Linked DNA regions of Caenorhabditis elegans. The protein of the gene in region 1 purifies or fractionates together with the protein of each later gene. This does not show direct contact. Each region holds a gene or a part of one and is shown in the gene's direction. Other genes may lie near its edges.

Region 1 (6,154 bases):
CAGATCCGAGGGTCCGCATATTGGTGGCATTTTTGGAGTCAATCGGCTTTTTGGAGGGTATATTGCTGGTCAAGTGTATGAAGCTGTTCGAATATACAAAAATAAAATTAAAGACGAAAATGTGATCTTTAGCATGCACTATAATTTTGTTTCTGCAGGTAAGAGGATGTGCACATTTTACGAAAGAAGATTTTAATTTTCAGGTGATCCGAGAAAGTTAATTGACATTAAAATCGAAAAAGTCGGAAATGTGTACACTGCTGATGTCTATCATGAAAACAAAAAAATTGGATTGGCTCACATTAAAGTTAGAAAAATTTAGGATAGGATTAAATATCAACCTTTTAGACTGACAGCAAGTTTCTCAGAAAAATACCATTTCCATCGGATGTGCCGGGACTTTTATCTTTACCAAACATGGAACGACAAATTGAAAATCAGCTATCTACAAAACAAAGAAAAGATTTTGAACTATTTTTGAAGCACGTGGTTTTTGATATTCGTCCTTTATATATGCTGTCTGGTCCGGCTTCTGGCGAACACAGAGTGGTTTACTATGCACGGCTTACTCCAGAGTGCATTGGTGTGTTTAAAAAAAACGTAACTTTTAATTAAAAACATAGCTGACTGAAAAAAATTCAAAAAGGCAGAAATTCTGAGAAAAGTAATACCGCTTATTTTGATGGTTATTGTTGACAAATTTGTATACCATAAAGTTCAAAGGAAACGTTTTTCTGGAAAAGTTGTAAATTTGTTACGTATTTCTAACTTCATTCACTTCTCCTACTGATTCATAGAGCTGAACCGAACGTCCAGTTTCCGAATTCTGGGAAATTTGGTGTCTAGCTTTGAGATGTTACAGAAGGTTTTAATACCTTTTTTTGACAGTGTCTATGATTTTTGTCTTGTCGCAATACACTATCTCTGTTTTCAAAATTCCAAAAATCTGGAACGTGAAATGAATACTCGAGAAATGACACTGGGAAAAACGGTGCGTTCGATTTGCCCGCCCAATTGCATTTACCTGTTGAAAATGTGCATTTACAACTTAAATCAACAGTTTAGTAATGTTATATGAGGCTGAAGTCCCAAATCTATAAATAGGTATTAAAGTAATGCAAGATTACATTTTCCTGACCGTTACACCAATTATTTGACTACTTATTCAAATTTTTAAATCAAAAAAAATCAGAAAACTATGCCCATAAAATTTTCAATTCAGACATTATCCGAGAAGATGGAGGAATGGTAGCGGTTGTAGCTTTATCTGATTTTATGGTTCTGCAGTCAGTGCAAAATGCAATCAACAAAGCTGGACTTAGAATGAGCACTGGAGCATCGTTACATCACAAAATCCACTTCCATCAGGAGAGGGTTGAAGTATGTATTGAAAAAAAATGTAGCACTTGCTAAACTGATAAAGTTGATACAAATCTAGATATACACAATCCATAGTTTTTTTCAAGTCATATCTATTTCTTAAAAGTTGCACAACACACTGTATAATATTTTTTCAGGCTATCCAATGGTTTCTGGTGGAAACCAGAACTGAAATTGCAACAGGAAACAAAGCAAAAATATTCGGGGAAGTATTCGACAGCAACAAGGAATGTGTCATGTCATTTATTCAGGAAGCATATGTCGTTCCAAAAGAAGTCGAACCAGAAAACTCAAAACTGTAATTTTTGTGATTAACATGAATATTAACTCTGAATAAATGAAATGTGTGATTTCATATAAAGTGTTTGATGATAACTGATAACAACTTATACTCTAATCATTTTCATTGAAGAGCCGCTAGTTTCAGATATTTTTCCTTTTTCAAACGTGGACATTTCTGACCGTTCTATGAGTCTTCTTTTCCTGTCGTATTCCCCTCGTGGTGTGTACCCTTGCAATGGAAAAGGACGCTGCCTCTTTCCTCTTTCTCTCTTCGTGAAATGCGCCAAAGGGACTGCTGGCGCGTTTCGTGTCTACGAGCGGTTCATTTGGTGTGCAACACTCATTTTAAATTGCAATTCCGCACGTTTATCTTTGTTTATCGAGTGTGTACTTGTTTTTTTGCGGTAATCTTGGGTTATTTTACATTTTTCTTTACAATTTCGGTGAATTTAAATAAGAATTTTTTGGCATGTATATCACGTTTATCGATTTTCAGGGAAAAATGCTCCGAGCCGCCAGCAACGGCCTCCGTAACACGGTCGCCGCCCGTTCTGTTTCGCTTTCCGCTGCAAACCACAGGTAAGATCAGGAAGATGTCGAGTTTGGAAATTTAGTACATACTTTGAACATATAAATCAAAGAAAGTCAATAATGAACTTGAAAAAGGCCAAAATTTCAAGTGTAAATTCAAAAAAAAAGGAAAATTTTTTAGAAATTCTCGAAAATTCACTGTTGATATTTCAGTGATGCCAAGCGATCCGATATTGCTCAATACAAGGTCGTCGATCATGCTTACGACGCAGTTGTTGTTGGAGCCGGAGGAGCTGGTCTCCGTGCCGCTATGGGACTTGCCGAAGGAGGACTTAAGACCGCTGTTATCACCAAACTTTTTCCAACCAGATCTCACACAGTCGCAGCTCAAGGAGGTTAGCAGTTTTCCCTCAATAATATCTCGACATTTTTTTTCAGGAATCAATGCTGCTCTAGGAAACATGAACCCAGATAACTGGCGCTGGCATTTCTACGACACTGTGAAAGGATCCGATTGGCTCGGAGATCAGGATGCCATTCACTACATGACTCGTGAAGCCGAGAGAGCTGTCATTGAGCTTGAGAATTACGGAATGCCATTCTCTCGTACCACCGATGGAAAAATTTACCAGCGTGCTTTCGGAGGACAATCCAACGATTTTGGACGTGGAGGACAGGCTCACAGGTTTGAAAGTTTTATGAAATACTAACGAGTAAAGTTTTAAATTTGTGCTATCGAAGTTATTTATCGGAAATTTAATTAACAAAAATGAAACTTTATGAGGCGCAAGTCATGTTTAAGATGGAGTAATTTCTAGTTATATTCATACAACTTAATCAGAATATTTTAATTGTAATGCCTCCCCGTCTCCGTTAAAAACAACTTCCCTATCCAAATATATCTAAAACAAAATCAATTTCAGAACTTGCTGTGTTGCTGATCGTACTGGTCATTCTCTTCTCCACACCCTCTACGGAGCTTCCCTCCAATACAACTGCAACTACTTTGTTGAGTACTTTGCCCTAGATCTCATCATGGAGAACGGAGTCTGTGTCGGAGTCATCGCCATGGATCTTGAAGATGGAACTATTCATCGTTTCCGCTCAAAGAACACTGTTCTCGCTACTGGTGGATACGGAAGAGCCTTCTTCTCTTGCACATCTGCTCACACTTGCACTGGAGACGGTATGTAAATTTCAACGTTTGAACAACACATTTACAATAATTTACAGGAACTGCTTTGACTGCTCGTGCTGGAATCAACAACTCTGACATGGAGTTTGTTCAATTCCACCCAACTGGAATCTATGGAGCTGGATGCTTGATCACTGAGGGATCTCGTGGAGAAGGAGGATATTTGGTGAACTCCGCTGGAGAACGGTTCATGGAACGTTATGCACCAAACGCCAAGGATCTCGCCTCCCGTGACGTCGTGTCTCGTTCGATGACTGTTGAAATTATGGAGGGACGTGGAGTTGGACCAGACAAGGATCACATTTACCTCCAACTGCACCATCTTCCAGCAGAGCAACTTCAACAAAGATTGCCAGGAATTTCTGAGACAGCCATGATCTTCGCCGGAGTTGACGTCACCAAGGAACCAATCCCAGTTATTCCAACCGTTCACTACAATATGGGAGGAGTACCAACCAACTATAAGGGACAAGTTCTCAACTACACACCCAAAAAGGGAGATGAAGTCGTTCCAGGACTTTATGCTGCAGGAGAATGCGGAGCTCACTCTGTCCACGGAGCTAACAGACTTGGAGCCAACTCCCTTTTGGATTTGGTCATCTTCGGAAGAGCATGCGCTATTGAGTAAGAGCTTATTCTATAGAGTATGATTATTTTAATCGGAGATAGCGCTAAACGAAAAAATCTGCGTATTTGTACCTGGTTGGCATCACCAACAAGACAATTAAAAAAACGAAAACCACCGTTTTATGGACAATTTTATACTATTATTTTTCAGCATCCTCAAGAACACCTCTGCCGGAGTTGGAGTTCCAGAACTTCCAAAGAACGCCGGAGAGGCCTCCGTTGCCAACATTGACAAACTCCGTCACAACAAGGGAGACATCTCAACTGCCGAGCTTCGTCTCACCATGCAAAAGTCAATGCAAAACCACGCCGCCGTATTCCGTCGTGGAGATATCTTGAAGGAGGGAGTCAAGGTCTTATCCAAGTTGTACAAGGACCAAGCTCATCTCAACGTTGCTGACAAGGGACTCGTCTGGAACTCGGATCTCATTGAGACCCTCGAGCTCCAGAACTTGCTCATTAACGCTACCCAAACCATCGTTGCCGCTGAGAACAGAGAGGTATGGTTTGAATACACATTTAGGTACTTGTATAGCATACCTGGCCCAAAAATATGAATAGTTGTGTTTCACGTGATCCTTTTCGCCCATTTCAGGCTTAGTTTCTAACAGTAAGCTTAAAAATGTAAGTAAAGTTCACGTTTTAATTAAATTATCATTTCAAAAAGAAATGAATGGAAAACGTATTGGGAAACAAATTTCTGACATCAAAATTTCAGGAATCCCGTGGAGCCCACGCTCGTGACGACTTCCCTGACAGACTCGACGAGCTCGACTACAGCAAGCCATTGGAGGGACAGACCAAGAAGGAGTTGAAGGACCACTGGCGCAAGCATTCGATCATCAGATCGAACATCGAAACAGGAGAGGTTTCACTTGACTATCGTCCAGTCATTGACACTACTCTCGACAAAAGCGAAACCGACTGGGTGCCACCAAAGGTCCGCTCCTATTAGGCACTCTCTCCGCCCCCCCCCCCCCCCCCACAATGAATTCCCTCCCAAGTTGTATAGTCCCCTAATTGCGAAAAACTTTGTTTTTTGTCTCTATTTTTCATCAACAGCCCATGCAACACTGTAACTGTCACCAGTTTGCCTTCGTTCCCCGTTTTATTAAGATTCGCGCGCCTCAACGTCCCTCCCATTCAATTCTCATTGTTTTTTCTTCATTCTTCCTTAAGTTTGTGTCACCGTTTTTGTTATCTATTTTTAAAAAAAGTGTATGCATTATTGGTAGATGTGTGTAATTTAGTAGCAAAATAGATTGCTGAACCTTTGAAATAAAGTATTTGAGACACCATCGTCATTTGAATAGGAACGTGCCGCAGAACAGTTAATAATATTAGGGCACAGTATAAAGTATTTTATGTTTTATTATTTTATATGTTTTATTTTATGTTTTAACAAGGCAAGTGTATTCTTTTTTTCGCAAAAAAAAATTGAAAACATTTATGGAGGAAACTCTGAAACAAATTTATACTCCAAATAGATGACCGTATTTCAATTACATATACGAATACATACTTTCCTGTAAAATGTATCTGTAACACGGTGATAACCACTGATTGATGCTTATAAAATGAAAAAGTCCGTTTTGATAAGCTCTGCATCGACGTCGGTCATCTAGTCAAATACTTCACCGGCCTTGAATTGCTCTTTACTCAATATTTTCTATTTTTTTTATTTAACTATAGCTACATTACTTTTTGGCTATTTCCTAGAAGTGTGTACTGTAAATAAACAATTGAGCATCAGGAGTCAATTAAGCAGCAGCAAGTACTGGCACATATTGCAAATAATTTTCAGCAAACCAGGAGATAACATCCACTTCCTTCTAGTAAGAAAAACAAATTTAATGATATTGTGTGAGTGACAAAAAACGTTTTTGATGAAAACCTTCATTATATCAAGACAGCAAAGTCCTTCTTTCACAAATTATTATAAAGCTTGTTGCAGCCACTAGTCTTGAATTCTTGAGTCTTCGCTGGTGTGGTTTTCAAGCAGCATCTGAAGTCAGGGTCGGTAGTGCAGGAACCATCGTAGACAGCAGCACAGTTATGAACACAGAGATTATAGCAAGTCTTGTTGGTATGAGTGGCAAAACTGATCCATGGAGAGCAGTATGCGTAGGATTCACCACC
Region 2 (4,323 bases), on another chromosome or scaffold:
GATTGCATTGGCTGAATGATGAGATCATCAATTTCTATCTTCAATTGATTTGTGATCGGAGCAATGGCGATTCGAAATATCCAAAGATCTATGCATTCAACACATTCTTTTATTCCAATATTGTTTCAAAAGGATACGCGAGTGTGAAACGATGGACAAGAAAAGTCGATATCTTTGCATTCGACATCGTTTTGGTGCCAGTTCATCTTGGAATGCATTGGTGTATGGCTGTTATCGATATGGGCGAAAAGAAGATTGAGTTTTATGACTCTCTTTATGATGGAAATACAGCCGTTTTGCCAGCATTGCGGTTAGTTTTTTGAGTGTTTTTGGTTTTTATTTAAAAAACTCACAGAGAATATATCAATAAATATTTTATATTTCAGAGGTTACTTGGAAGCTGAATCATTGGATAAGAAAAAGACAGCAATGAACTTTTCTGGATGGACAATTCAACAGATGACGGTATATTGAATTTTAAAAAAATTAAATAAAAAAAAGGATTTTTACTTTAAATTTATTTCTGAAAAAAAGTTTTTTTTTAGAAGTCCAGATGTTTGGCTCAATCACTCTTTTTTTGATATCTATGCTCTCTAAAACAACCAGTAATACTTCTGAAATTACACACACAAAAAGATCTTCAACACGCGATAATCATCTTGTTTAGGACATTCCTCGTCAACAAAATGGCAGTGACTGTGGAGTATTCTCATGCCAATTCGGTGAATGGGCATCTCGACGAACGACGCCTCGCTTCACGCAGAAAAATATGCCATACTACAGAAAGCGAATGGTTTACGAGATTGTTTCGAAGAAGTTACTCGCAACTATTTGATTCTAGAAGATTAAAAGTGTCATAATTCATAGTTTTGTTTCCGGAAAAGTAGCTGTAAAATGTATTTTCTTCTCATTGGGCATAATTAAAACTTATATTTTGTCGGTGTCGTAAGCCCGAATCATCTAGAAAGTCTTTAATTTTCTGTATTTCGAATTAACCATATTTCCCATTTTCGTAGCATTTCTTCATTATCCAAAATATCGTTGTGATTCTCATCACTAATTATAACTTTTGATTTCATTTCATACCGTGTAAAGAATGTTCATACAAAAGATTAAAGATGATCGACGGTGTCAGATCACATCACATTATCACTTGTCACGTGGTCATTCTCAGATGACGTTGTTTTGTTTCAAAAGGTGATGCAAACTTTCCCATCCCGTTTTTAAGATTTTTTTGTCTCTGTGGATCTCTGGCCTTTTTTCTCTTTTCTCTTTTTCATTCTTCCTTTTATCCGAGTTTTATTTGATTTTTGACGTATTTATTAACAATTTTCTCTCCCTTCCACCTTTCAATTCCCAGTTCAATAATATCAATCAGCTTTCTCTGTTATATCAATATATTTCACTCCCGATCCCCGTCACCATTGCAAGTTGCAATAAATACAATTTCTTCACTTTTTTTTCGTTGAAATTTATTTTTTTTTCTTCTTGGTTTTATTTTCAACCTCATGGTTATATATTTTGAAGTTTATACAGATTCAATGTTTTATTTTCTAAACAGAGGAAATTTAAATCCTCCTTTATTGTGCTCATCGTGATCACAAAGTCACAAAAAATTTAACTTCCCAAAACCAAAAGAAATTGTCGTTTTGTTTTCCTCCTCACGACTCAAAAGTTAAATTTTTTGTTTTTTGGTCCGAAAAACCAACAAAACCAGCTATTTAGCAAACAAGAAAAAATGATCGTGATCTAAATTTTCTGGAAATTTTCAAAACCATTTCTTCCAATTTTTGTTATTTCAGAAAATAAAATAGATAGAAATATGCATGAAAGCGGTGAACCTACAACTGCAACGGGTGATGCTTCAGCCAATCATTTTAAAGATGGAATTATCGATTTATTGGCTGGAACAGCTGGTGGAATTGCCAACGTGTATGCTGGACAACCATTAGATACAGTTAAAGTAAAAGTACAAACATTCCCGAATCTCTATTCAAATTGGATTGTTTGTCTCAAGGATACTTATAAATTGGACGGAATTCGAGGACTTTACGCTGGTTTGTTATTTTTGTTTCGAAAATTTTGAGCTTAGTCTGGATTTCTGAATCTAAAAAAAGAAAAACAATCCTTTGTACTGAACACGTTCCATGCAACTATAAAAAAGAGTACTTCTTGAAGTAAAAATTCTCACCCTTTCTGGGAAGAACAATATAACGTGTTTTCAAAAAAAACCTTTTTTTGCAAAAGTTTCAGATTCTTTTTAAATAAAATACAATTTCTAAAAAGCTTCCAGAAAGCTCAGCAATTTTTTTGAACGTTTTATTTCAAATAACGTAGTTTTGATTTGGAAGTCGAGATGAAATCGAAAAAATCTTGAAAAATTAAATGTAACTTGATTTCTAAAATTCATATTTTTCAACATCCAGGAACTCTCCCAGCTCTAGCTGCAAATGTTGCTGAAAATGCAGTTCTCTTCACTGCCTATGGTTACTGCCAAAAAACAATTGCCACACTGAATGGACTCGAAGATGTCAGACAAATGACACCATTGGAAAATGCATTCTCCGGATCTCTTGCCGCAGTTTTTGCAGCTACCGTACTCTGTCCAACAGAACTTGTCAAATGTAAACTTCAAGCAGCTCGTGAAATGAAGAAGAAGTGTACACCATTCTCTGTTTGTCGGGATATCATGAAGGATACTGGTGTCCGTGGATTCTTTGTTGGAATGACTCCGACTCTTGCAAGAGAGGTTCCTGGTTATTTCTTCTTCTTTGGAGCCTACGAAACATGCCGTTTCTTATTGACTGATGAAGGACAGAAAAAGGAAGAAATTGGACTTGTGAAGACAGCAATGGCTGGATCAGTTGGTGGTATGGCATTATGGACATCCATTTATCCAGCAGATGTCGTTAAATCGAGAATGCAAGTCACCGGAGGAGGAACTTTTATGTCTACTTTGGGCGCTGTCGTTAAAGAGAATGGTAAGTCATTATTGAGGGATAATTAATTCAATTTCTTATAAAAATTCAATTTTACAGGAATTCGTGGACTCTACAAAGGACTTCTACCAACCAATCTAAGAACTTGCTTCGCTTCTGGATGTCTTTTCGTCGCTTATGAAGAGACACGAAAGTTCTTCCACTACGTCCTCTAGATTATATTAATCTCTGCCTAGTAAATTTTTCAATTTTTCCTCATTTTTTCTTTCCATCACACAAATATCATCATGCTATGAGAGCTTTCTTCGTTGTTTCTCTTAATGTTTTTTTTCGGTTTCTAACGGTTACTCTGAGATTGCCATAGGCTCACTTACGCCCGGTTGTTGTTTTCTAAATTTTTTAATAAAAATTGTTTTTTTTTGTTATATTTAACCTTCAAAAATCCTAAATGTAATGAACATTTGTTCATAGTCACTTATTTATCTGCTTCTAACACTGGCCAATGCTTCTAATGATCTACAACTTTCTAAAGTCAAAAATCTTCCAGTTCATGTTCTCTAGTTGCTGGTTAAAAAGCAGCGTCCGATACTCGCGGTTAATAAGACAATTTTCATCGGAAAATTCATTTTTCAAGGTGAGAACAGATATCAAATTAGGTAGTGAGATTGAGGTCTCATCACGAATAGCTGGGCAAATCCTGTTTCTTTTTACACTCGCGCATGATCTCGTTGTCCATGCGGAAGTGAATCTTGTCGTCAGTATATCGGACTGAAGACACAATCGGCTAAATTGTTTTTCCTTTTTCTGTGAGAATTTATTATTTTCTGAAAGTTAAAAAATTTTAATACCTTTTTTAGAAGCTTAAAACAAAAATTTCAAACTTTGATGTAAATATCATTAATAAAAATGGTGTGAAATTGTTATTGTTGATCCGCAATTTAGCGGAAACGGTGTGCATGTACAAACAAATTCAAACATGATGAAATCTGACAGCCTTGCATTTCATTTTCTTTGTGTTGAATTTCGCAATGTTTTTTTCCTGAAAACTTCGCTAGATTTCGCTGGTTCTCCAGTAATTATATGAAAAGGGTTTGAAAGTTTTAATGCTTTTTGAAAATTTTAATGCTAATACCATTATGCTTAATTTGCTTTTTTAAATGAAAACTTTCACGTCCCTCTTGGATTTGTCTCTCTGCCGTCTACAATCTCTTTCTCGTGTTGATAGGGCGCGCTTGCATTTTTACAATTTTTCTTAATTTATTTCTGAAAAAAAAACTAAATACTTTCTTTCTTTCCGAAATGCTTAATTCATATCTCCTGAATTTTGTTTTCTAATAGAGATTTAGAAGCCGCTAATAAACTTTTAATAAATGTTGTTTTGCTT
Region 3 (4,791 bases), on another chromosome or scaffold:
TGTCAGTTGCGTAGGGATCCTATGACTGCAGTTAAATGGTTAACAGTTGTTTTCATTACAGAAAGAGTTCATCACTCGTCAAACAAGCCGTCATGGTCGCCCTCTTGCTGTCCAAAAACGTCGTGAACAGCAATTAGTTCAAAGTCTCCGAGGAACTCCAACCACATTGGCTCGTGTCCACGAGCTTTTCGATGATGAGAAGCATGCCGTTGTGGTCGTTGAAGGTTCGAGACGTGAATGGTACGTACCAATTCTCTCGATCGTCGACAAGGACTTGCTTCGTCTGAATGCCCTCGTCATGGTGAAGGCTGGTGGAATGTTCAAAACAGTTCCAAGTGCAATCGTTGGAGTTTTGGATGACAAGATTGACAGCAATGCGATGGGACATAAAGTTGAGAAGACACCAAAAGAGACATTCGATGACATTGGAGGATGTGAGAGTCAAATTCAAGAGCTGAAAGAGTCTGTGGAACTTCCTCTTACTCATCCAGAGTACTATGAAGAAATGGGAATCACTGCTCCGAAAGGAGTTATTCTTTACGGTGAACCTGGAACTGGAAAGACGCTTTTGGCGAAAGCAGTTGCAAACTCAACATCTGCAACATTCATCCGTGCAACTGGATCCGATCTTGTTCAGAAACAAAGTGGGGAAGGTGCTCGTCTTGTTCGTCAAATCTTCCAAATGGCAAAGGAACAGGCTCCATCGATTGTATTCATTGATGAAATTGATGCAGTTGGTACGAAAAGATTTGATACTTCTTCACGTGGAGAACAAGAAGTTCAACGAACTCTTCTTGAGCTCTTAAATCAATTGGACGGGTTTGAAAGCCGTGGAGATGTCAAAATTATCATGGCAACGAACAGAATCGACTCGCTGGATCCCGCTCTTATCCGTCCTGGACGAATTGATAGAAAGATTGAGTTACCAAAACCAGATGAGAAGACTAGACAAAAGATTTTCACGGTTAGTCAATTCAACATTTCTTAAATAATTTTTATTTTTAGATCCACACCTCTGGAATGACGATTCAGAAAGCTGTCACCTATGAGAATGTATTGGGAAAGGAGAAGAGCATTAGTGGAGCTGAAATCAAGGCGGTTTGCACGGAAGCTGGTATGCTGGCTCTTCGTGCTCAACGAAAATGTGTCGGAACGGATGACTTTGAGAAGGCTGTCAAATCGGTTATGCTGTCGAAGAAGGGCGGAGCACCAGAAGGATTCTTCTCTTGACAATCGGAAATTCAATAAAGTACAAACGAGTTTACCCTAATGAACCTTTCTTCTCTTACAATGCCAGTGCAGATGTTTTTATGAACATCTGTAGTTAATTTCTTTGGTCTTTCTATGACCATAGACTGTTTGTTTTCGTAGTTTCTTTCCCTTCCAGAGCCTCAATTTGAAGAATTATGTTAACTTGATCCGAGGCGTTTTGAATACCGATCTCGAGTATAAATATTTTATTGTTTCAATGTGTTACTGTTTAACACAAGATGAGATTTGTCGTATACACTCAAATAGATACAAAAATAAATATCCAAATTTGTTTAAAAAATTTCAAACTCATTGAGCTCGCCAAGTTTCTTGAAAAAATTGTTTACGTACAGTTTTAAAAATTATAAAATTATTAAATACCACCATAACCAAGAAACGTGATATTTTCTGAGATGGCCAAAACTATTAAAAATCGATTTTTTAAAAGTCAGTTCTAATTTTTGGAGTCAATATCGTCCCAATGGTAGCATCAAATAGAAGACAATCGAGGTTTGCAGAATCATTGTTTTCATCTAAAAAAAACTACATTTTTCAGTTCAGATTCAATACCTTCAAATCAAAAATCACACAGCTCTAACCATCACACTTCTAATAGGTGAGTATAACTACAATCCACAGAAGAAAATTAGTTTGTAACCCACATGCTCGACATTTCGCTCCGTGCGATTGAAAGCTGGGAAATCGCGAAAATCTGCGACGATCTACGATAGCATGCGAAGAAATGCGCGGAAAATTCGAAACTAGGGGTAACCCGCAAAGATGTGCGACAATGTGCGAGAAAAAGCTGAAGCAAAATGTCGAGTTTCTGTATTATCTACACCAGGAAAATATAAAGACGACAGAATAGCTGTCAAATCTTCTCAAACAATACCCACTGCTTCACCACTGTCAATCCAAACTGCAATAGTCTTTCAGCGATGGAATGCAAACTCACACGGATCGACTTATTAATAAATTTATAAAGAGGCAAATGGAAAAATCTTCACCAGAAACTCAACATCTTGTCAGAAAGCAATCTATTTTAAAATTTGTTGAACGAAAGTCTAGAGCGGAAAGACCGAAGCCAACGAAATTACGAACAATTTTGAGAAAGATTCGAAGTGAGGATTTGGTTTATATTCTGCTTAAAGTAATGTTTCAAATTTCAGAATTTAATACAATAATTGCATTTGTGGTTCTTGTTGCATATATAATTGGTGGAGCTCTCTTGTTTTGGCAGATTGAATCGAGATCTGATATGAATGTTTGTAAAGCTTTTGTTTCTGTTGCAGATATATATTCATTGATAATATTTTCAGATTAATGAGTTCAAAAGAAATATTCGTCAGAAATCAATACACATCTACAATTCAATGAAAGGTAGCAAGTGTGGAAAATTGAAAAAGGTTTGTGAAAGTATTTCTGCATCTCTTTCAATTGAGCATACCCGGAAAACGCCTCGATACAATTTTCATCTATTTCAGGCAGATAATGAGTTGAACAACAATTGTATAAAAGAAATTTTTGACCTACTCTACGCTTCAAACCCTCCAAAGCATATAGAAGAGTTTCTGGATGGGCTGGCTTATGTAATCACTTGTATTACGACAATAGGTATGACTCGGGATTAACAAGTAAAATAGTATCAAAACTGATTTCGAACATTTTGAAAAATATTTTTAAAATTTTCTCCCGAGGTGTCGTCTAATCATTCTATTTTCTATTTCAGGGTACGGCGAACTTGTCTGTCACACAATTGCCGGTAAATTGGTTACTGTAGCTTATGGTATTATAGGAATTGCTCTAACACTCTACGTACTTCGCAACAATGGAAAAATAACGTTGAAAATATGCAATTTGACACTCAAAATTTTTGCAATTTGCGTTCGAAAATGGTAATTTAACATTTAAACATAAATAACCTCTTCTCAACTTTCCATATAAAATCTTTATTTGAGTTCATTATTTAGTTTTCAGTGGCAAAAAGTCGGCAAAGTATAAGATGACAGTACTGAAAGCTTTTATTCTTCTTGTCACATTTTGGGGCTTCGGAGCACTTGCAATTGCTGTCTATGAGGAGTTTGTATTCTATGATGCCTTGTACTTTTCTTTCAGTACATTTTCAACTATTGGATTTGGAGATTTTGTTCCGTCAGGTCATATCTCTGGAACTATTATTTGTGTATTACACTTTATCGATTTATCACTGATTTCAATGGTTTTAGTTCTCGTTCATGTAAGCTGTGAAGATTCCCTTGTAAGAAACCAAGTGTCTAAAGTTTACAAATTTCAGCATTCGATGGAAAACAGATTTATGAGAGTTTTGGAGCTCTTCGATGAACGGCATGCTACCGACACTTTAGAAACAAATATGATATCACCTGGTGCTTCTCAACGGAAACTTGCTGCAACGACTACAGCGAAGGAATGATTTCGATCCAGTGATCATAATTGATATCAGATTATTCTCAAAATTTAAAATATCTCTTTGCTTATTACAATTTTTATTGATATTCTTTTTGTGGTTTAATTCTTATTCTTTTTCGTCATTAAGAGAATGAAGAAATTACAAAAAGCTTCTTTTTTTGCACAATGAAAGGAAAAAAAAACTGCCCATTTAGAGATTTAATCCGGTAAAGGCTTGACAGAGGCGCCTCACACCCGCCTTTTTATTTGACCTCCCAGCGCCGTACCTATAACCTCATGTGCAATTTCTCGTTACGGAGTTAATTTTAGTAGCGCATTCGTGAATAACCTATTTGGTAATTGAATTTTTAATCTCTCAAACAACGGTGTTTGTGGCTAGTTAAAAAAAATTTATTGTTCTTTTCTTTCTGAAAATTATTTTCCAGGAATACGTGCAGCTCACGCAAATACCGTCATTTGTGAAAACGCAATCATTAATTATCAAACAATTTATTTTCGATTATCATTTGTGAAAGTTTTCCCATGAAAACAATGAATCTCGTCTATTTGATACTTGTCTCGTTTCTACCCTCATCAGCCTTCGTCAGCTGCTCATTTACCAAGTCTGGAAAACAAATTCTTCAACAAATTTTTGAAGGCGATAAAGACAATCACACCAAGTTCAACAAGTTTCAAGAACTTTTCAAAAATTTCGAAGGCAATTTCAGCTTTTTTTTAAATGAAAATGTCACTTTACGATATGTTTTCAGATGATAGTTTTTGTATCAATTCGCTCGGAAATATTGGCAAATCTGCATTGAAATTTCTGTCTGAATGCTCATCTAACACGTGCCTCGAGCCAAACTGGGCTGTCCGTCTTATTGATTCACTTCCAACAAAACCACCAGGTCTTTCACGTAAAGGACCATTCTTCTTCATCGGAGATTTTGAAACATGTAAAGAACTATGGTCGGTAGAACATCGGCAAGTACATTATTGCACTTTGAAAGGAACGGTGAAACTTGGCAGCGAAACTCTTCCAGTTACAACAGGTTCCGTTTTTATTGTTTTTTGCTCCGTTTTATAATCTTTTCACTGTAGGAGTCTGCCTTCCATCAAATTGCCATGAAAATC

The links. Proteins that work in one complex are often made in the same cells at the same time.
Region 2: the proteins of sdha-1 (region 1) and T10F2.2 fractionate together in Caenorhabditis elegans (co-fractionation; one large-scale study listed by BioGRID). This does not show direct contact.
Region 3: the proteins of sdha-1 (region 1) and twk-37 fractionate together in Caenorhabditis elegans (co-fractionation; one large-scale study listed by BioGRID). This does not show direct contact.

The regions. Positions count from the first base shown.
Region 1 is NC_003284.9:8,542,026-8,548,179, reverse strand, and holds sdha-1 (Succinate dehydrogenase [ubiquinone] flavoprotein subunit, mitochondrial), read left to right. Parts: upstream 1-2,158; 5' UTR 2,159-2,164; coding exon 2,165-2,241; intron 2,242-2,406; coding exon 2,407-2,588; intron 2,589-2,631; coding exon 2,632-2,878; intron 2,879-3,116; coding exon 3,117-3,379; intron 3,380-3,426; coding exon 3,427-4,012; intron 4,013-4,166; coding exon 4,167-4,515; intron 4,516-4,733; coding exon 4,734-4,970; 3' UTR 4,971-5,423; downstream 5,424-6,154. Other genes in the region: D2021.4 (Acyl-CoA thioesterase-like C-terminal domain-containing protein), read left to right, coding at 4-158, 204-307, 349-583, 1,223-1,380, 1,518-1,682; nspc-7 (Nematode Specific Peptide family, group C), read right to left, coding at 5,942-6,154. UniProt on the Caenorhabditis elegans protein: Flavoprotein (FP) subunit of succinate dehydrogenase (SDH) that is involved in complex II of the mitochondrial electron transport chain and is responsible for transferring electrons from succinate to ubiquinone (coenzyme Q).
Region 2 is NC_003281.10:5,162,791-5,167,113, reverse strand, and holds T10F2.2 (Mitochondrial ornithine transporter 1), read left to right. Parts: upstream 1-1,802; 5' UTR 1,803-1,822; coding exon 1,823-2,057; intron 2,058-2,426; coding exon 2,427-2,981; intron 2,982-3,038; coding exon 3,039-3,154; 3' UTR 3,155-3,355; downstream 3,356-4,323. Other genes in the region: ulp-1 (Sentrin-specific protease), read left to right, coding at 1-310, 387-465, 668-835; gars-1 (Glycine--tRNA ligase), read left to right, coding at 3,490-3,573.
Region 3 is NC_003279.8:6,268,452-6,273,242, reverse strand, and holds twk-37 (Potassium channel domain-containing protein), read left to right. Parts: upstream 1-1,709; 5' UTR 1,710-1,732; coding exon 1,733-1,761; intron 1,762-1,807; coding exon 1,808-1,867; intron 1,868-2,187; coding exon 2,188-2,372; intron 2,373-2,420; coding exon 2,421-2,515; intron 2,516-2,570; coding exon 2,571-2,657; intron 2,658-2,735; coding exon 2,736-2,865; intron 2,866-2,980; coding exon 2,981-3,146; intron 3,147-3,228; coding exon 3,229-3,487; intron 3,488-3,544; coding exon 3,545-3,682; 3' UTR 3,683-3,823; downstream 3,824-4,791. Other genes in the region: C10G11.8 (AAA+ ATPase domain-containing protein), read left to right, coding at 62-964, 1,006-1,230; oac-9 (Nose resistant-to-fluoxetine protein N-terminal domain-containing protein), read left to right, coding at 4,210-4,375, 4,428-4,709, 4,759-4,791.